3 linked regions of the Caenorhabditis elegans genome follow. The protein of the gene in region 1 interacts with the protein of each later gene in a pairwise test. Each region holds a gene or a part of one and is shown on either strand. Other genes may lie near its edges.

The links. The genes of interacting proteins can lie anywhere in the genome.
Region 2: the proteins of taf-9 (region 1) and flh-1 interact in a two-hybrid assay, tested with the Caenorhabditis elegans proteins (one large-scale study listed by BioGRID).
Region 3: the proteins of taf-9 (region 1) and taf-12 interact in a two-hybrid assay, tested with the Caenorhabditis elegans proteins (one large-scale study listed by BioGRID).

What each region holds. Positions count from the first base shown.
Region 1 is NC_003281.10:13,621,572-13,628,012, reverse strand, and holds taf-9 (Transcription initiation factor TFIID subunit 9), read right to left. Parts: upstream 3,738-6,441; 5' UTR 3,730-3,737; coding exon 3,586-3,729; intron 3,531-3,585; coding exon 3,247-3,530; intron 2,233-3,246; coding exon 2,109-2,232; 3' UTR 2,006-2,108; downstream 1-2,005. Other genes in the region: arrd-17 (Arrestin domain-containing protein 17), read left to right, coding at 1-7, 52-194, 796-895; T12D8.5 (uncharacterized protein), read left to right, coding at 1,485-1,549, 1,597-1,645, 1,688-1,981; mlc-5 (Myosin-2 essential light chain), read right to left, coding at 4,049-4,155, 4,271-4,377, 4,428-4,564, 4,613-4,690; hip-1 (STI1 domain-containing protein), read left to right, coding at 5,790-5,893, 5,942-6,307, 6,351-6,441.
Region 2 is NC_003282.8:9,260,058-9,266,028, reverse strand, and holds flh-1 (FLYWCH transcription factor 1), read left to right. Parts: upstream 1-1,765; 5' UTR 1,766-1,797; coding exon 1,798-1,814; intron 1,815-2,326; coding exon 2,327-2,552; intron 2,553-2,600; coding exon 2,601-3,371; intron 3,372-3,417; coding exon 3,418-3,927; 3' UTR 3,928-4,221; downstream 4,222-5,971. Other genes in the region: Y11D7A.19 (NADH dehydrogenase [ubiquinone] 1 alpha subcomplex subunit 13), read left to right, coding at 1-219; col-120 (Nematode cuticle collagen N-terminal domain-containing protein), read left to right, coding at 4,276-4,352, 4,403-4,487, 4,534-4,633, 4,681-5,360. UniProt on the Caenorhabditis elegans protein: Probable transcription factor. Binds to the DNA sequence motif 5'-[AG]GGCGCCG-3' in the promoters of target genes, including micro-RNA genes, in order to repress expression, and acting redundantly with flh-2.
Region 3 is NC_003281.10:11,862,032-11,871,269, forward strand, and holds taf-12 (Transcription initiation factor TFIID subunit 12), read right to left. Parts: upstream 7,251-9,238; 5' UTR 7,244-7,250; coding exon 7,148-7,243; intron 6,825-7,147; coding exon 6,692-6,824; intron 4,176-6,691; coding exon 3,994-4,175; intron 3,690-3,993; coding exon 3,594-3,689; intron 3,102-3,593; coding exon 2,916-3,101; intron 1,572-2,915; coding exon 1,368-1,571; intron 580-1,367; coding exon 448-579; 3' UTR 362-447; downstream 1-361. UniProt on the Caenorhabditis elegans protein: Part of the general transcription factor complex TFIID. Plays a role in recruiting taf-4 to the nucleus and thereby activating transcription initiation by RNA polymerase II, as part of the TFIID complex.

The DNA of each region.
Region 1 (6,441 bases):
TGTGCAGGTTTGTTTTTACAAGGGTAAACACGTTTTACACGCCTAATTCAGGTGACAATCACAGATGAGAGTGGTCAGCTGGTGGAGGAACTCGGCAACGAAATGGAAGCCTTATTGTCAGCTCGAAAACGAGTACGAATGCCCTCCTCGATCCTCAGCGAGCTGTATCCAACAATGCCGAGCCCGTATTATAAGTGAGTTCGGGCAAAAACTTAGGTGCTTTAAAATTGGGGACTTAAACTTTCATTTTTCGATTTTCTGGTATTACGTAGACGTCTAAAGATGAGAATTTTCGCCATATCTTACGCGCATTTTCGCCAGATCTTACGCGCATACTGATACTCCAGACTGGCAGCTATTGCACTATCCTTTTAGGAAAAAAAATATGCTGCCACAATTTTTTACTTCTATTACGGGAACACAAAACTCAGGGAATGCGTACATTTGACGCGCAAAATATCTTGTAGCGAAAACTACAGTAATTCTTTGAATGACTACTGTAGCGCTTGTGTCGATTTACGGGCTTGATTGTCTAAATGAATTTTTTTACAAATATTTAATGTCAGAGATATTCCATTTTCCTTCGTTTCTTCGTATTATTTTCTCATTTTTGCTTGATTTTAATTTATTCCGAAAATCGAGTCCGTAAATCGACACAAGCGCTACAGTAGTAATTTAAAAAATTACTGTAGTTTTCGCTACGAGATATTTTGCGCGTCAAATATGTTGCGCAATACGCAATTTTTTAGTTTTTAAAATTTTTATAGTTTTTACAAATTCCCTGAAATTTTTCAGAGAATCATTCTTCGGCGCCAGTGACATATCAGAGGAGAAGGAGCAAGCACAGTTCGGTGAAGCCTCATTTGCGCCCAAATATCCATTTTATACCGATTAATATTTTATCATTTTGTCTCGAGTGTTACTTTCGCTTGGAGGGGATAATCAATAAATTCCATGCTTTTTCAAATTTTGTTGCACTTTCGATTCAGATTTTTTTTAAAAAACAAGTTTAAAAAACATATTTTCTGATTCCCTAATTCACTATCACAAACAATTCCCTAAAAAGCCTTATCACCTGAACCCCGTGGTGAGGTCTGCGTCTTCTCAGAGCACACAATGTCTTGTCGGTTTGCGTCAATTGGTGACGGTCATACGGTTTTTGGTGCTTGTTGTTTTGCATTTTTATCTATAAATAGGGTGTGAGGAGATAAGTTTCATTCAACTTTTTAAAGTTTTCGTGAGTGAGCTTCAATGCCTGCCTGCCTGCCTATAGTCTGATTTCTGTGATGATTAAGTGTCCGGTGTTTGCATAGATTTACGCGTTTCTAATTTTACTTTCTAATTACATGTATTTTGACAGTAGACACGAGGCAGGCAAGCATTTTCATGCCTACACTGAGAGACCTACTTTTTCATACTGTTTTCAACTTGGAAAGTTCTTCGGGGTTTTAAATGCTAAAACTTAATTCGTGTCGTTTTTCAGAATGAAATTCCTTCTCGCAGTTTTTCTGCTAGCCGTATGTAGCCTCGGAGAGTCGAAAAAACCAAAGTGAGCCAGTTTATTGGTTGATTTTTCCATCTTTATCGATTTTTCAGGGCACAGAAGGTTATCTACGTGCAGAAGGTGGTGCCGCCCCAGAAGCAGGTAGGATTTGAATTTTTAGCCAAAAACTTGGATATATTGAAGCTCTCCGAATACGACCTCTGCAAGGAGCAATGCCGAATCGAAAGCGAGACGCAATCCAACAAAGAACGCGTCGAGCTTTTGAAACAGGAGATCGACCGAGCTGAGCAGTTGCTCGCCGAGCACAATAAACACGTGGATGCTCCGGAAATCGCACCCGAAACGTACATGGAAGCTGGTCAGGTTCCGCCAATGCGTAAGGCTAGCCGTTACGATCATTTGAAAATGGCAGCCAACAAAATTGTCGAGTCGACGAGTGAGCTGAAAAATGCGGTGACAGGTGGAGGGGATAATTGAATTGTTTTTGAATTGTAATTGTGTAAATTTTTGAATTTTATAAATAAAAATCTGGGTTTCATAGAGATCATTGGCAGGATTGATTAGATAAAGTAGAAAATGGCATAAAAAAAACAAAATTAAAAAGTTATGAGTCAAAATCATCGTCTGGAGCTCTTCGCTTGAGCATATTCTGTACATGCTCCGGCCGTAGCACTTGTGTTGGTGGTTCGATGATATGTGGCTGATGGGTGACTTGTTGCATTTCCATTCTGAAAACTTGAAAATTTTGAATTTGATATGTATAATTTCATTTTACTACAGAAAAAAAAAACGCATGCCATAAAGATTTAAAAACAATAACTAAATGGAATATTGTCGGAAAATATGTGACTTTTAGTTTTGTGTCAAGGTTTTGTATTTTTGATTCGAAAAAACAATTTTTGAGATGAAAATGCAAATTTGAATCAATATTTTTCAAATGAAACTGACAGTAGCCACAAAAAGCATTGAAAATCGACAAGTTTAAATATAGAATTTCTGTAAATTTTTAGAATGAAAATTTCGGAAAAAATTTATATTTCGGCTCAAAAAGCGGTGAAAACTTAGTTTTTAACAAATGTTTTTGGAAGTTATCGATTAAAAAAAACTTATTCCATGTCTTATGCATTCATATTTAATTATTTTGGGGGCACGAAAATGCGAAAGTGTTTTCGATTTCTCGAAAGGTGGCTCCAAACAACACCTTTTTTTACTTGAAACAAAAAATCTTCTATAAATTTGGTACTTTTCCTTTTCTACCCCGCATTTTTCTGGAACATTTTCTTGGATAAAAATGTGAACTTTTTCTGTAATTTTGTTTTCTAATGGGGTTATTCAAGTAGTGTCGGAAAATTAAAAAGTGTAGATTAATTACGTCACAACTGTATTCAAGTATATAAAAACATGTATTTAAATACATTTGTGACGTCACAAATGTATTTAAATACATTTTGCTACATTACTTGAATAACCCCATAAGCCTGAAAATGATTCACGTGAGAATTAAATTTGAATAATTCAATGTTTTGAATATTCATTTAAAAATGCGGTGTAAAAAAGGAAAAGTATCATAATTTTTTTAAAAGTTCTATTGTGAGTTTTTATTGTTATTTTGTCATTTTTGAACCATAGGAATGGTTTTTAATAGTTTCCCCACTGGTCGTACTCCACTTTAAAATACCTTCTTTCCGTTTAAAATCAAATTTTTACAGATTTTTCAAGATATATCGAGAAAAAAAACGTACGGCTGATAACTGTCGTCAGCTTTGTACACAAAATTCTGCTGTAATTGACAGAATCGATCGTTGGGCAGCTTCAGGCCATAATTGTGTCGAATTTGCGGTAGGGGCTGCTGATTTTTGTCATTCGCCAATTGCAGAATCTTCTCACGGTCCGGAGCGTTTGTGGTCAGAACGCCGAGCATGTCGGCCGCCGTTTGAACGTCTTCTGCCTCGATTTGCGCTTTTTCAGCATGCCTGGACAGTCCACTTGACATTTGGAGGATTTTTGACGTCACTGCGTATTGAACCTGGAAAAAATCATTATTTTTTGAATTTTTAGAGCTCAATTTTGTATTTTCTCACATCCATAAGCATTGAAACGACGCGTGGATCAAACTCTTGAATTCCACACTCGTGGAGCATGCTTATTACAGCAAGCGCCTCTTTACTGTGTCCATCGGTACCACTTGCCGTCGTTTCTGTGTCTTTTTCTCCTGTATCTGCCATTTTTCTTTCTGAAAATGCAATTATATGGATTTCCCCACAAAAATAACGGAGAGGAAATACAGAAATATCATGTGAGATGTAACACGAAATACAAAAATTATGAAATTAGAATTAAAATTTAGAAAAATTCATCTTAAAACACGGAGGATACAAAGTTGTTCACTGAATCGTTGCAAGTTTTTTTTGGTGAACTGGGAGAGAGCGAATAAGAAATAGAATTAACGGATGCAAAAAAGTCGATAAATAAATAGATTGTGTGGAAAATGCCGAGGAAATTAATGGAAATGATATATTTACATCAGCTGAATTCGATTATTTTTTAGGAGTTCATGACAGCGCGTACGAAATCCGAGATATTGACGTTTCCGTGAGAATCGTTGTGTCCGGAGAGCAATTGATCGACGTCTTCATCGGATAGGCGTTCTCCTTGAAAAAAAATTGATAAAATTGGGGTAAACTTTAAAATTGTATAGACCAGCAGAACATTTTTGAAAAGCTACTTATATATTAATTTTTTGATAATATTCACTCAAAATCCTACCAAGAGTGGTGAGCAAGTGTCGGAGCTCTGCGACATTGATCATTCCGTTTCCCTCCTTGTCGAAATGCGACAACCCCTCGACGAACTCCTCAACGGTGTGCTTTTCACTGAAATTATGTAGAAATTGAAATTTATTAACTGAAAATTCGCCACGAACCGATTCTTGGACACCGACTGGAAAATTGGGACAAAGTCCTCGAATGAAAGCCGAGCTTCCCGATCGAACGAGCCGACACATTTGTGAATTTCGGCTTCTGTTGGGTTCTGGCCGAGCGCGCGGAGCACATCACCGACCTGAAATATGAATTTTGGATTAAAAAAGTAAAATATTGAATTAAAAACCTGCTGAACAGAGATTCGCTCGTCGCCTTTGCTGTCAAAATAGGCGAAAACCTCACGACAATCAGCCAAATCGTCCATTTCTCACAGCTGAAATTGGAAAATTGAGAAGACGGGATGAAAACGAAAATCGATTATCAGTGAGTGAGAAGTTGGCGATAAAAGAGAGAATGAGTCACGGGGACGAAACAATTCGGGAGGAAAATGGGTGGGCGGTAGAAGATTTTCGAAGAGAGCTGAAAACATTTCATGCCTTCCAGAAATTCTCAAGCAAAAATTCAGCCTTTCTCGGCTATTTCCCGAGAAAAACGAGTTTCACAACACATTATTCACCGCACATGAACTGAAATGGCGATCGATTGGCGAGTTTATTTGAATAGTAGACACACACAGCAGAAGAGACGACCAAAACGGGCAGTTTCCCCGCGCGGCGGTGTCCTGACTGTCCGTTCAACCGCGTGAGAGTGTGTGGAGATGGTGGAGACGCGAGGAAGAACAACATCCCGAATTCTTGTTGTTCGGAACTTTTTCTCACCGATTCATCGACAAGATACCAATAGTTTGGAGGTTATCCGGCGGGAAAAAGAGGGTTAACAGAGGGCAATTAGAATTAAAATTCGAATTTTCGAGTTGCGGCATGAGCATAGAGCACAGAGAAGCAAAGAGCGCCCAAGTTGCCACGGAAACCATGCACATTACGTGCTGAATACAATTCCTGCGAAATTTTACAGAAAAATCTATTTTTCTGCAGAATTTCAAGGATAATTATCGATAAGCCAAAAAATTGATATAAAACAAAAAATTTTCGGGCGCCAATTTCAAATGCCATGGCGCAATGCACAACGGGCGCTAGATCCCACGCGCAAATGCACAGAATATGCCTGTTTTGAAATTTATTTTTCTCGAGAATTTCTAGAATTTTCGATAATTCAAAGGAGTTTTTTGGTTTAAAAGGCGTTATTCTAATTTTTTGATCTAAATTATCAGGTATTTATCTATTTTTCACTTTAAATCCCCTCTTTGCGTAGTCGGAACACCTCTGGCGGCATCACGTGCTGTTTGCAATATTGTTTACACTTCCAAACAAATTGAATAAACACTTCAATTCTCTATTTTTTGATTCTTAACCTATTCCTTTAAATGATTTAAAATAAACTCCAAAGCTTTTACCTTCCAGAAAATGGACCACGTCGCATTGCTCAAGCAATTCGTTGGCATGTGCCAAGCGAACCCGGCGGTTTTGCACGCCCCGGAATTTGGATTTTTTAAGGATTACCTTGTTTCGTAAGTTTTCTAGTACAAATTCAGCTCAAACATGTGCCACATTTTCAGCCTTGGAGCCACTCTTCCCCCAAAACCAGCTGACAAGCCAGAAGGAAAGTGCCCGATGTCTGAGGAGCCAAAGAAGGAAACTCCAGCCGCCGAGGCAACTCCAGAGCCAGAAATCCCGAAGCCGGAGGAGATTCCATTCCCGAAAATTGACAACGAGGGAGTCATCGAGCCAGAAGAGGCGGTGGCTTTGCCAATGGGAGACTCTGCCAAAGAAGCCACCGAGGATGAGATCGAAAAGGCCTCCGAGGAGAGAGGAAAAGCCCAAGAGGCGTTTTCCAACGGCGATTTCGACACAGCCCTCACTCACTTCACCGCCGCAATTGAGGCTAATCCAGGATCTGCAATGCTTCACGCCAAGAGAGCCAAGTGAGGATTTTCTTTTCAAAACCTGAATAATCGCATTTTTCAGCGTCCTTCTTAAGCTCAAACGTCCGGTCGCAGCGATTGCTGATTGTGACAAAGCGATCTCTATCAACCCAGACTCGGCACAAGGCTACAAA
Region 2 (5,971 bases), on another chromosome or scaffold:
ATTCCAGAGCACTGGTCACAGCGAGCACAAGATAATATTACAATGGGATTTGGTTTTGCTCAGAGTTGGATGAACACCATAAAACCATCGAGAAATACAGTAGAAGAACGAATAAGACTCCCACAAATATATCATGTTCCAAGAAAAGAATTCGTTTGTTTGGTGGCACTCACATCGGTTGATGAAGCTCTCTTCCACACAATATTAATGTTCCCATGACTTCTGAGGTCTTTTAAAATGCATTTCTTCTCTTCTTCAGATCGAAATTTTGTATACATCTCAGCACCCCATAAACAAAAGTTAATTTTCAAAAAATGTTTGATAGATTTGATTCTGTTGAATATTTTCGGCTGCATACTTTAAGCAACAAGTGGATTTTACACCAAATTGTTAACTGTGAGCCGAAAAGGCTGCATCCCTTTTTTGATAAAGAACCAAAGCCAAACCACGTACGGGCTAGAAGAGGAAGAGATTATGATCGTTTCTGAATTTTCAAATAATATTGTAATGTTATTTTCTTCATATGTGCTAGTAAAATGCTTTTTATGGGATGATGCAAGTGAATTTTTCTACATTTCTCGACAATTTATTTGCAATGCAAGTAAGCAGCATAATGACGCAAAATTCGCCATTTTTTTTACATTTCTCTACATTTCTCGACATTTGAAAAAAACACTCATTTTTCGTCAAAACCACGTCTTTAGTTCACGACTTTACCTTCCCAGACGTTCACGTTTGTTAAAAGTAGTGTAAAATGGGAAAAATAAAAATAATTTGAGAATTTTAAAAGATAGATGCGTGGCCATTCAACGTGGTGTTGCAAAACAGCCAAATTTGAAAAATCAAACTTGATCATTTTTAAATTTTAGAATTCAAAACCACGTTGAATGACCACGCATCTATCTTTTAAAATTCTCAAATTATTTTTATTTTTCCCATTTTACACTACTTTTCACAAACGTGAACGTCTGGGAAGGTAAAGTCATGAACTAAAGACGTGGTTTTGACGAAAAATGAGTGTTTTTTCCCACGTCGAGAAATGTAGAGAAATGTAAATAAATGTAAAAAAATTGCGAATTTCGCGTCATTTCGCTGCTTACTTGCATTGCAAATAAATTGTTGAGAAATGTAGAAAAATTCACTTGCATCATCCCATTAGAGATGAATTCCTATTTGAAACTGCTGCAACTATGTAAAAAATATATATGGTGACTTATTGATATTTCATTTTCCATTTTCACAACCTCGTGGACCACCAAAGCAACATGCAATATTCTATTTTGTTTTTTAGGCCTGTTCAAATAAGTTTCCAGTGATACGCAATTTATCGTAGCCGTTATTGCACAAAAAACGTCAATGAGTGACAGTAGTCCACGCGCATAACTGTTCATCATTTTTCGTTTCATTTGTTTTTTCTCTGGACAGATCTGTGTTTCTCGCAATTTCTTTTCATATTAAATCGTTAAAATAGTAATTTTCAATTTCCAATTATAAGAAAACCGAAAGTTATTCTTATAATCTCTCAAATGCTTAAAAAACCAACCTAAATAAACAGAAGTTCCTTTTGGATTATTTTAAATTATTTTTGCCAAATCTAAAAATAAAACCAAAAATAAATCAAAATATTCTCAACTATGAGACATTTGTTTAAAAATCGTTTTTTTTTTCGCTTTTGTATTTTACAGGCAGTATTTGTTTTTTTACACACGTTGCCATCTTAATCTATTTTATTCGAAATTTTTATAAAATCTAAATTTATTTTCAGGACGGCGTCTTCCAATTATCTAATATCGGAGGATGTATTCGCCAGAATCGTAAGGCTCCTGCTCAATCATAAAAAAACGCTTGCCTCTATTGTTAATCCTACATGTCTCCCTTTTCTCACGTCTAGCGTTCTTCTCTCCCCTCCCAACATCGCCCTATCTACTGTAATCCAACGTCACCATCTGTCCCCGCTGCCTCCATGCCGTCGTCTTTTTTTGCTCCCGTTTGCTGCGATTGCCCTCCCACGAAGGACCTCTTTGGTGTAAACAGTGGAACGGACCCAAGAGTGCGCGTACGCGGTCCGCGAGCGGCTGACCGCGCACGTCATTAGAAGAGACAACAAATGAATCAGAGAGACGCAGAAGAAGGGACCATAATGTCCCGCCCTTTCCCCGTTGGGTTGAGAGACTTAGACCCCCGAACGCTGCTAATGTTACAAATATGTCATTCCAATAGGATTTTGGTCTACCGTCTGGCTGCATAGTTTTTTACTTCCTATTTTAACCTCATCACTCAATTGGTCTTATCTTCCATGTAACTTAGAATAATTTATTAATTTCAGAATGAACTCCAACATATCTTCTCCATCCCCTCCGTCGTCGTCTTCTCTTAATGCTCCAAGTCTTGCGGATGCTCCTGAAGTTAGATCCGATGATGGAGAAGCCGAAACTTCCGAACCATCGACTTCTGTCACAGCTGTACCAATGGAGATTGTGTCCCAAGCATCTACATCTGCTCCTGTTAACCAGTTGCTCGCGAGCGGAATTGATATGTCTAGCGTTATTAAAGTAAGTTTCCTCTATCCAAGATGTTATTTCATTTGATTGTTATTTCAGAACAACGCTGTTTTACAGGCACTTCTTGCCAGTGCCAGTGCCGGTGGATTCGGAGACAACGCAGGCCTCACCATGTCAAAATTATTGACCGCCGCTCTCGCCAATGGATCCACTGCGGTTGCTAAAAGAGATGCAGGTTCTCCACGTACTGATATCCCAAAGAAAACTCGTCTGAAAGTGTTTTCAAACGGATTTTTCATGACATTTGACAAGCTTTCATCATGTCAAAAGAAATATTTCTGGAGATGTGAATACAAGAACACTTGTAAAGCACGAATGCATACGGATATTGTTACTGAAAAGATCCTCACGTTTATCCATGAGCACAATCACAGTGCACCAATAGATGAAGAAGTTAGACTTTATGGATTGGACCCAACGAATATCGAAAGAAATCGTGTCTACATAGTTGGAAATGTTGCTGATCCAAATCAACGAAGAAAGATCCGAAAGCAAGTTGCGGATAGAGAAGCAGCTGCAAAGAGGCTCGTTCAACAGCAAGAAGAAGAACAACAGAAGCAACAAAGTGCATCATCAATTGTGGCGGCTCGAGCAGCTTATGCGCAAGCAATGCAGAATGGCTCAATACCCACATCTTCTGGGGTCGCGTCTTTTCTCCAGTCAACTTCGGCCACTGCTCCAATGACGTCTCATTCAATGCTCCTTGCGCAGATGCCATTTTTAAATAATATTAAAACGGAGATGTCAAATATGGTGAAAAACGAACAATTCACTCCTGAAAGATACACACAGCATATGTCTCCAAACTTGGTATGTCAACTTAGTGTTGAAAGTTTATTCTATAATAATTTTTAAGCCATTGCAGACCGCCACAATTGCTCCACTAATAATTCCAACAGAGAACTACGACTCACCTTCATATAGACAACCAGCAATCAAAAGAAAAGCTACTGATTTGACGAATGAAGAACATGATTTGAGAAGAGATCCGATGTTCCAGCCAACTTTCGAGCTTGCCAGAAAATTGAGAAAACTGTGGAAAGGAGAACCGAACAGATATCCAAGAACTACTACGACTCCGACTCATCATTTTGAATTCTTCCTTTCTAAAAATGATGGAACAGATGAGCATCTCTATGTTCCAATGAGAATCAATCTCCGTGATGAAGCACACTTAAAAGAGGCACTTCAAGACTTCTGTGGTCAACAATGTATCGGAATGCTTCTTTTCGGAATTTCACCAAAGATCAGTGTAATGTTCAATCAACCCATGTTGAATAATTGGGACAATAATCAATTCTTCCTGCTCGACATTTCAAATCCAAGCCGTTGGCGACTGATGTATGTGGATGATCAAGCTGTGTAATTTAACCGAATACTGATTGTTTTTTATATGTGTAAAATGTAAAATTTCCTCCACTCTCCACCTATCTCATTAAATATTTTCTGTGACATTTCTCCATCGAAACTGGTTTTTACCCAATGTAAACCTCATCCTAAGTCTACGATTCAATCTAAATCACATCTACCTCCCTTTTCCAGATGTTTTTTGAACCATTCCACTAATAATGTGTAATGTTATCTTTGACTTGCTATCAATTATCCTTATTTTTTAACGTGTTCTATCCGTTGTAGGATTGTAATAAAACAGTAAAGTGATAAGCGTGAATGATATAAAACACAGTTGAAAATGATTAGGTGATTGGAAGAAGAAATGAATTTGAAGAAGAATTTAGTGAATTCTGAAGAGGATGAACTTCGAAAAGTTGCTTTCGTGGCGACTGTTGTCAGGTATGTTCCGATTTCCACGTGGCAGAATAGTACAAGCTGGAAATTTTCAGTGCTGCTTCTGGAATCATGTGCATTATTCTAATTCCTGGGCTTTACACATATCTACAATATATTCAAAGCTCTGTTCAAACTGATGCAAGTGATTTCTATTCACATTTTGGTATTTATTCTGCATTTTTAGGTTGGATTTTGTGTTGACGGGGCTAAGAATCTGGAAAATATGTATGAATCAACGAAGGCTGTTGGTTCAGGGCCAGTAAAAAGACAAGCTGGATATGGAGGTAACTTGTAACTTTTGTGGGACTTTTTGAAACTAATTCAATATTAGCTTCTTCCCCCTCTCGAGCTTCTGGAAGTCATCCAGCTCCATCTCCATACGACGCTGCATCCACTTCTTCTTCATCTTCTTCCGATTCTTGTTGCAGCTGTGGAATTGGTCTTGCTGGGCCAGCAGGTTTCCCAGGTCGACCAGGACGAGATGGAATAGATGGACCAGCCGGAAAACCTGGACGAGATGGGCAAGATTTGGATGGAGAATCGTCTTCTGATGGATCACAAATTGAGCTTGATTGCCCAGCAGGACCACCAGGGCCACCAGGAAATCCAGGTCCTCAGGGTAATTCTGGGCGACCTGGAATGGATGGTATGCCTGGTAGAAATGGAAGATGCGGGAGACCAGGAGAGCAGGGAGAACGTGGACCAAATGGAGAAGATGGACGACCTGGAAGACGTGGAGACGATGGAATGCCCGGAACAGTTAACGAAATTCCAGGCCAAGCAGGTCCACCAGGTCTTCGTGGTGCTCCTGGAGCTACTGGATCGCAAGGACCACGTGGAAATGATGGTAGACCAGGAAACAAGGGACCAGCAGGACCACCTGGAGACCAAGGATTTGATGGAGCACCAGGAGGACCTGGAGCTGATGGAGAACCTGGAGCACAAGGACCTTTGGGAGCAAAGGGAGAATGTTCACACTGCCCACCTCCACGAACTGCTCCTGGATACTAATTTTTATCTGTTTTGTTGATTAGATTTAGTTTCTGTAAATAATGAACACTTTTAGCACTATTTACTTAAATTATTCAAAAAGTACAGTGACCTATCTGCGAAACACAACGCAAGACGAAGAGACACAGACATAAAAAACTACAATACTCCGTTCTGACGCTGCTCGTATTTTATTTTTTGCGTCTTATTTTTTTTAATTTTTGCACGTTTTGTTTAAAATTTACTTTAAATTTTTATTTAATGAATTCCCGACCTTAATTTTTGTAAAAATCGGTTTGCATTACACATTTTGTTAATATAAACTGTTAAAAATCAACTATCATCGCCCATACTTCTCCGAAATGAGCCAAAATTGAAATTTACGTCATGTTCTTCAACATTTAAAATCATTAGAAACGTTTGTTGATTTGAAATTAAAGTATAGCAATTTATTTGAAAACTCTCGTTTTCATGATATATGTACTGACAAATCTAAGGTAAATAATCAATTTCTAAGTTTAAAAGAGATCAAATTGTTTTCAGTTTAAGCATATTTAAATCTAAATCTTATCGGATTTCATTGTTTCTAGTTTTTATCGTACTGAATTCCAATCATTTAAATAATTATAGAA
Region 3 (9,238 bases), 1.8 Mb from region 1:
TCCGATAAAAAATTTAGAAAATCACTGATATTTTTCAAAAATCGATAAAAAATTCGAAAAAAAAAATTTCTTAAATTTTTATTGGTTTTTCACATTTTTCGCATTTTTTCTCATAATTTTCAAAGATTCAAATCATTAAAAAAGTTAGAAAAAAAAAACTCACATATAAATTTGCTCTTTGCTCTTCACTTTAATCGCATTCTCGGCCGATTTTCTGTCTGAAATTTGGATTTTTTCAAGAATTTTTCAAAAAAAAATTCTAATTTCTCACGAAATTTACCAAATCTGAAGTGTTGGAGGTATTACTCAAGGACTTGAAACCTTTTAAAAACCAAAAAAATGAAGAAAAAAAATTTGTCATAAAAAGAGGAAATTCATCGTGGAAGACCCGGAGAAAAGGAGGTTTTTGAATGGAAAATTAAAATTAAAACAAAAAAAAATTAATTTTTAAAGTTTCTTGATTTGTTTCTTGAGTAGAGCAACCCGTTGCTTGTGTGCTTCCGTTGGAACAAACTTTTCCTTCGATAAATCAATAACTTCCGTTTGAGACCCAAAATTGTGCGAAGCAGCGCGTGGAACCTGAAATTTAACAATTTTTTCTGATTTTTTAGATTAAAAATCGAGCCAAAACACCTAATTTTAGCTGAAAAACTCGAATTTTGTCTCACATTTTTTGCACATTTTTTGAACATTTTTTGTACATTTTTTGCACATTTTTTGAACATTTTTTGCACATTTTTTGAACATTTTTTGAACATTTTTTGTACATTTTTTGCACATTTTTTGAACATTTTTTGCACATTTTTTGCACATTTTTTGCGCATTTTTTGCACATTTTTTGCACATTTTTTTGCATATTTATTGCACATTTTTGCACAGTTATTGCACATTTTTGCACATTTTTTTGCATATTTTTGATAAATCCATATATCCTAACACTTTTTTTTTCTTCTTTTTCCGATTTTACAAGGTTTTTCGGAGAAAAAAAAATTTCTAATGAATATTTCAATATTTTCTAGACATTTTTTCTCTGAAAAACACTAAAAATCGAAAAAAAAACCCGATTTTCTGTATTTTTCAGGTAAAATTTTTAATACTGGAGAATCGAAAAACGGTAAAAAAGTAGATATTTCAGCTAAAATTAAGCGTTTTTTTTTTACGAAATCCGGTTTTTTAAAGCTATTTTGTGATGAAAATTTTTATCAACAAAAAAAAGAAGATTTTTTTTCCAAAAAAATAGTCAAAAATTAGAGATTTTAGCTAAAACTAGGCGTTTTTTTCTAATTTTTTTTTCACGAAATCCGTATTTTCTAGACCATTTTAAATATCAAAAAAAAACATAAAAATCAGTAATAAAAACGCCGTACCACTGGCATATTATAGACATTCTTGAGAATAAATTCGATATCCCGTGATTCAATTTTCTTCACCTCCCGATTCTTGATCATTTTGCATGCTTTATCGATTAGAGAACTGACAAAATCGTCGGCGTACTCCACAAGAACATCTTTTACATTTTCTTCGAGTACTGTTGTTGAGCTGATTTGTTGCATCAAATCATCCAGTTTTGACTGAAAAAAAAATTTTAAAAAAAAGAAGATTTTTTAAAATAAGAATTTTCGGTTTTTTCAGTGAAAATCAAAAAATCGGAAAAAAAAATTTTATAGAGTTTTTGAAAAAAAAAAACTACGAAAATTTTAGGCTATTTTTTTTTTTTTTTTTATTAATTGTTATAATTTTCGATTTTTTTGTTTGAAAATCTTGAAAATCGAAAATTTAAAATTTTTTAATTAGAAAATTAAACAAAAACTCTTAATTTTACAAGAATTTTTACAAGAAAAATTACCAAAAATTTAGGCATTTTTTTCAGTGAAAATTTAAAAATCGAATTTTTAATAGCAAATTTACAAAAAATTCCATTTTTAATTTCATTATTTTTTCAGGAGCAAAGCAAAAACTAGTGTATGCAGAAGTTCGAATTTTTTTCAAAGTTCAAAAAAAAATTTAAAAATTGTATTGAAAAATTGGAAATTTTCGTTTTTCGTTTAAAAAAAATCGAATTTTCAATAAATTCCGGCCATTTTTCAATACTTTATAGAAAAAAAAAATCACTTTTTTCAATAAAAATCAGCATATTTTTTGATAAATCTATAGCTTTTTCGTCCCCTTCCGTGAATTCTTTGTGCATTTTTTTTCCTATTTTCTCTGAAAAAAAAGACCGAAAAATCTGAAATTTGCTCATTTTCTATGAAAAGACAATCCAAAAAATTTTTTTTTTGCGAATTTTTGCTAGAGAAATTTGTAATTGAAAAAAAAACTAAAAAATCAGAAAATTTTTTAAATTTTCCTGAAAAAACCTGAATTTTTTTCGATTTTCTTTGAAAAAAAATCGGAAAATCTGAGCTTTATTCGATTTTTTCTGAAAAAATTTCAAAATTAAATAAAAATCAATTTTCCAAGTATTTTTGCCGGTTTTTTTGCCGAAATTTCCAAGTATTTTTGCCGGTTTTTTTGCCTAAATTTCCAAGTATTTTTGCCGGCTTTTTTGCCGAAATTTCCAAGTATTTTTGCCGATTTTTTTGCCGGAATTTCCAAGTATTTTTGCCGGTTTTTTTGCCGAAATTTCCAAGTATTTTTGCCGGTTTTTTTGCCTAAATTTCCAAGTATTTTTGCCGGTTTTTTTGCCGAAATTTCCAAGTATTTTTGCCGGTTTTTTTGCCGAAATTTCCAAGTATTTTTGCCGGTTTTTTTGCCTAAATTTCCAAGTATTTTTGCCGGTTTTTTTGCCGAAATTTCCAAGTATTTTTGCCGGTTTTTTTGCCTAAATTTCCAAGTATTTTTGCCGAAATTTTCAAGTATTTTTGCCGGTTTTTTTGCCGAAATTTCTAAGTATTTTTGCCGGTTTTTTGTTGCACCTTTTCCATAATACTTCCATACGGAACAGCGGCCGGTATCATTTGAGGTGGCGGTGCCTGTTGCTGTTGTGGCTGTGGAATTGGAGGCTGTTGAATTTGTTGAGATGGTGGTGGCTGCTGATGTTGCTGCTGATGTTGTACTTGCATAATTTGTTGAGGAGGCAGCGGCATTGGAGACGAGTTTGGCTGGAAATTTTGAAAAATTTTGCCCAAAACTAATGGTTTTTATAGTTTTTCCATTAAATCGGGCTCTTTTTGAGCTCCAAAAAATATTACGCCACGACAAATTTGGCGAATTTGCCGGTTTTTTACGAGCTCGATCGGTAAACGTTGCCTTTTTAGTTCCGGCAATTTGCCGATATGCCGGAAATTTTAATTCCGGCAATTTGCGGGAAAATTGAATTCCGACATTTTGCCGATTTTGTCGGAAATTTCAATTCCGGCAATTTGCCGATTTGCCGGAAATTTTAATTTCAGCAAATTGTCGATTTTGTCGGAAATTTCAATTCCGGCAATTTGCCGATTTTGTCGGAAATTTCAATTCCGGAAATTTGCCGATTTGCCGGAAATTTTAATTCCGGCAATTTACCGGTTTTGCCGGAAATTTCAATTCCGGCAATTTGCCGATTTGCCGGAAATTTCAATTCCGGCAATTTGCCGATTTTGCCGGAAACTCACCACAAATTGTGGTGGTCCACCACCTCCTTGCTGCTGCATCATATGTTGTGGCGGAGGCCCTCCGACCATTCCCATTAAATGTCCAGATGGTCCTGGCTGGAAACATTTTAAAATTAGAGGATTTTTAAGCGGATTTCCAAAAATAACTGCAGAAAAAGTCTTAAAAATGCCCAAAATATGCGAAAAAAAAATTTTTTTTTTGAAGAAATTATACAAGCCTTGAAATTTTCACCGCTGCTCCGCTGCTCCACTGCAGAAATTGTTTTGTAACATTTTTTAGAACAATTTTTCAGAGATTTTTGATCCCGTGGACCCAAATTCCCGAAAAAAGGTTTTTCTTGGGTCTCAAACGGAAGCTTTTTTTAAATTCAAATTTCCCAGATAATAACCGCCCCCGTACCCCTTGAGCCATGCCCATCTGCATTGGTCTCTGTTGCATTTGCATTGATTGCCCATTCGGTGTGAATTGTTGGGGCTGCTGCTGTTGTGGAATACCCATTTGTTGAAAGTGTTGCTGCTGCTGCTGCTGTGGTGGTGGAGGGCCCGCACGCATTTGTGGTGATGGGTATGGCATTTGGCGGACTAAAATTACGAATTATTTCATGAGAAGCCTTATTAAAGAGACGGTGTAGTCACCGAAAATATGAAGATTTTCGCTAGAATTAGGCGATTTTCGGAAATTCAGCATAATTGGAACATCGTCCAATCAGCGTACCGCTCCGCCCACTTCTGGACCAATCAGACGGAGTGGGCGGGGTTTGAAGATGCTGATTGGTAGGAAAATACTCGAAAATTGGTAAATTAAATATTTTAAAAAAGCGATTTTTAAAATGGAATTCTTTGAATTTTTTAAAAGCGATATCTACATTTACCCAAAGCCGCCTTAAATTACACCTAAATTAACGAAAAACGTGAAATAAATATGCAAATTAGGATGAAAATTGAATAAAAATCAATTTCTAGCCACCCTGGCACCGAAAAAATGGAGATTTTAGGCGATTTTCGGAATGTCTGGTAGATCATGGTGTGATCTGCAAAAAATGCGGGAATTTTTGGCCCAAAAAATGTGACGTCAGCACGTTCTTAACCATGCAAAATCAGTTGAGAACTCTGCCGCATTTTTTGTAGATCAACGTAGATCAAGCCGAAATGAGACACTCTGACACAATGTGTGGTTAGGAAATTTGAAAATTCAGCAAAATTAAAACAGCGACCAATCAGCGACCGGCTCCGCCCACTTTTGGACCAATCAGACGGAGTGGGCGGAGAGCTAATTTTAGTAAAATTTGAAAATCACGATTTTTTTTCCGTTTTTTTTGTGGTTTTTCTGAATTTGAAACTATTTTTTTTGGATATTTTTAAAGGTGGTGTAGTCGAATGTTTTTATTTGCTTTATTAGACTCAAAATTGTCTGAAAACACCGAATTTCATAGTGAAACTGTTTGAAAACTTCTCAAAAAATAAGTTATGACGGTTCAAAAAATGACCTAAAATTAGTTAAAATTTGAAATTTTACCGACTAGCCAAGCGTCTGGAAACAATTTTTCGAAATCACCGTCAAATTTTAAGTATACAATTTAATTATCTTGCGTTTTCAACTTCATTTAAGTATTTTAAAGTCGATGGACGGCGAGATTTGGTTTTAAAAAATTTAAAAATCTCGTCGTCCATCGATTTTTAAATACCTTAATCAAATTTAAAACACAAGGTAATTAACTTATATACTCAAAATTTGACGGTGATTTCAAAAAAAAATGTTTCCAGCCGCTGCGACATTGATAAGTTGGTCAAATTTCAAACTTTAACTAATTTTAGGTCATTTTTTGAGCCGTCATAACTTATTTTTTGAGAAGTTTTCAAAAAGTTTCACTATGAAATTCGGTGTTTTCAGACAATTTTGAGTCTAATAAAGCAAATAAAAACATTCGACTACACCACCTTTAAAAATATCCAAAAAATAGTTTCAAATTCAGAAAAACCACAAAAAAAAACGGAAAAAAATCGTTAAAAAAATTTAAAAATCTCGCCGTCCATTGATTTTTAAATACCTAAATCAAGTTGAAAATGCAAGAAATGCACTAATTTTAGGCCATTTTTTGAGCCATCATAACTTTTTCCTGAAAAGTTTTCAAGAAGTTTCATTATTAAATTCGATGTTTTCAGACAATTTTGAGTCTAATACAGCAATAAAAAAAAAATTCAACTACACTCTCTTTAAAAATATCCAAAAATACATTAAAATTCAGAAAAACCACAAAAAAAAAAACGGAGAAAATCGCGATTACAAACTCCGCCCACTCCGTCTGATTAGTCCAAAAGTGGGCGGAGCCGGTCGCTGATTGGTCGCTGTTCCAATTTTGCTGAATTTCCGAATTTCCTAACCACACATTGTGTCAGAGTGTCTCATTTCGGCTTGATCTACGTTGATCTACAAAAAATGCGGCAGAGTTCTCAACTGATTTTGCATGGTTAAGAACATGCTGACGTCACATTTTTTTGGGCCAAAAATTCCCGCATTTTTTGTAGATCACACCATGATCTACCAGACATTCCGAAAATCGCCTAATTCTAGCGAAAATCTCCATTTTTTCGGTGCCAGGGTGGCTAGAAATTGATTTTTATTCAATTTTCATCCTAATTTGCATATTTATTTCACGTTTTTCGTTAATTTAGGTGTAATTTAAGGCGGCTTTGTGTAAATGTAGATATCGCTTTTAAAAAATTCAAAGAATTCCATTTTAAAAATCGCTTTTTTTAAATATTTAATTTACCAATTTTCGAGTATTTTCCTACCAATCAGCATCTTCAAACTCCGCCCAATCTACCTGATTGGTCGAAAAGTGGGCGGAGCGAATCGCTGATTGCTCAGGCATTTCTCATTTTGGAGGTAATTCGAAAAATCATGTTTTTCGAGTTAACTTTTTCACTTTTTCGCGATTTTTTTCTTTTTTCTTCGGAAAAAACGTAAAATAGCCGACTAAAATAGGCGGAATAGGACAAAATTGGAGATTTCAGCTAAATTTTGAGCAATTTTTTTTTCATTTTTCACGGAATTATTTCTGAATTTGAGGCATTTTTTAGGAGTTTTTTCTTCATACTTTGCTGCTGTGGCATCTGCATTCTCATCGGGCCGCCCATTCCACCCATCGGCGGTTGGCCCACAAACTGCTGCTGCTGCTGCTGTTCGTTGGGATTCTGATGGCCTTGTGGCGGAATTCCCTGCTGCATTGGCTGAAAATGTGGGTGATAGACGTGATATCCATGATGGTAGGGCCACATTTTTTAGTATTAGTAAATATATATATATATATGGACAGAGGACGACGAGAAGCTTTTGTGATGGAAATGGTTTTGTCGGGGGAAGAAGAGAAGCACAATCGATATGAGAATAATACACATACACTTTGGACGTTTACGGGGGAAAAAAAACGGAGAGGCGCTCCGATTTTTTATTATTTTTATTCGTTTTTTTTGTTTTTTTTTTGTCGGCTGGCCGGTGAGTCATTGTTGGGACAGAAAGCAATAATTAGAGAGCGGACACACAAATCGCTTACAGAATTCGTGGAGAGAGCGGCGGCGATTTGCGGGTTCGCCTGCACGATTACGTGATTATTCGGTGAAGTTGGAGGTGAGAATTCTTCCATTTTCATTTTTTATCTGCAACTAAGTTTTTTTTTGATGATTTTAAAGCTTAAAATCTTTCGGAAAACCGAGGAAAATGGAAATATATTCATAAAAATGAATAAATTCGTTAAATTCGATAAATTTTCCACAGTACCTCGGTCGTTGTGAGACCCAATGTTAAACAAAAGCATTGCGCCTTTAAAGTTATACGGTGAAACTTTTCAAGCAATTTCTATTTTTTTCCGAATTTTTAGTTGCTAATTATTATTTTTGATTAAATATTACGAGAAAAATTTTAATTTTGAAGAATTTCTTCAAATAAAGTTTAAAAAACCGAGGAAAAGTCAAAATTAATAACTGAAACTCGGTTCGCTGTGAGACCCAAACTTAAAAATAGCAATGCGCCTTTAAACTTATACGGTTGTATTTTTAGGCAATTTAAAGTGAATTTATGTTTTTTCCAGAATTATAGTTGCTAGCTATTATTAATTTTAAAACCGAGTGAAAATTTTAACTTTGAGAATTTTCTTTTAAAAAAAACCAAGGAAAAATCAAAATTAATGACTGAAACTCGGTTCGCTGTGAGACCCAAAGTTAAACAACAGCAATGCGCCTTTAAAGTGATACGGTGGCGATTTTCAAGCAATTTAAAATCAAATTGAATTTATTGGAAAAAATCAATGAAAAAGACCTAAACTAATAAATATTCAAAGTTTTATTCTCGAATTGCACATAATATTATGCGCCGAAACCTCGTAAAATTAGGCAGATTCTGATATAAGGGAAAAACGATCCGAAAAATGTAGGACATTGGGGGAATAGAGACGTAGGGGGTGGTGGCGAGAAATTGAGGCCAATGAAGAGAACGAGAGACCTCTCTAGCTCTTTTCCGTCTCTTCTCGCAACTATCTCTCTCTCTCTCTCACTAGTGTGGTTTATTAGAACCTAAATGAGCGTGGCCGTGGGAAAACCTAGGCCACGCCGTTGCGAGGAAGTGCAAGTAAACAGAAAAAAGACGACGGCGGACGTCTTATAAAAACAAACATGTCACATTTTGTTGTCCACTCTGTCATTATTTTGCGAAAGAATTGGGATCGAATTGGGAAGTACATTTTTGGGTCTCGCCGCGATTGTTTTCTTTAATTGAATATAACTGTACCATGTGATCACTGGAAATGGAAAAACATATTTTATCTAACATTGGTTGAGGAAAAGGCAATAAAAACAATTAAAATATCGAGTTATTACAGTACACCGAGGTTTAAAGGCGCATGAGGGTTTTGAAAAGTCAAAGTAAAACTGGATATTAGCGTAAAATTTTGTTCGGTCATAATCGAGTATATTCGTAAAGTTAAAAAAAAATTTGGGTGTTTGGTTTTAAAATAATGTTTTTTTGAAAATTGAGTTTTTACTAAATTTCAGCTAAAGAAAAACTTGAATTTTAGTCGAATTTTGAACGGTGGGTAATAATTTTTTGTGTTTATATTATTATTCAGACATCAGTAAGTAAATTGGTAAAGTTTGAAAAAAATTTGGGTGTTTGGTTTCGAAGAAAATAATTTTTTGAAAATTTGAATTTTTATTCATTTTCAGCTAAACTAAAACTGAAATTTCAGACAAATTTCGAACGGTGGGTATTAATTTTTTGTGTTTATATTATTATTCAAAGATCAATTAGTATATTGGTGAAGTTTTAAAAAATTTGTGTGATTGGTTTTGAATAAAATAATTTTTTTGAAAATTGGAATACATATTAATTGGGAGCTAAACTAAAACTGGAATTTCAGTCAGATTTTGAACGGTGGGTATTAATTTTTTGTGCTTATATTATTATTCAGACATCGGTTAGTATAATCGGTTAGTAGATTGGTAGTTAAAAAAAATTTGGGTGTTTGGTTTTGAAGAAAATAATTTTTTGAAATTTGTAATATGTTCATCGGCAATGGCTGGTGGCCTAGAATTTCCCAATTAGGCCATCAAATCTGAAATTAAAAAAGCACATATTCAGCTGTAAAATAATT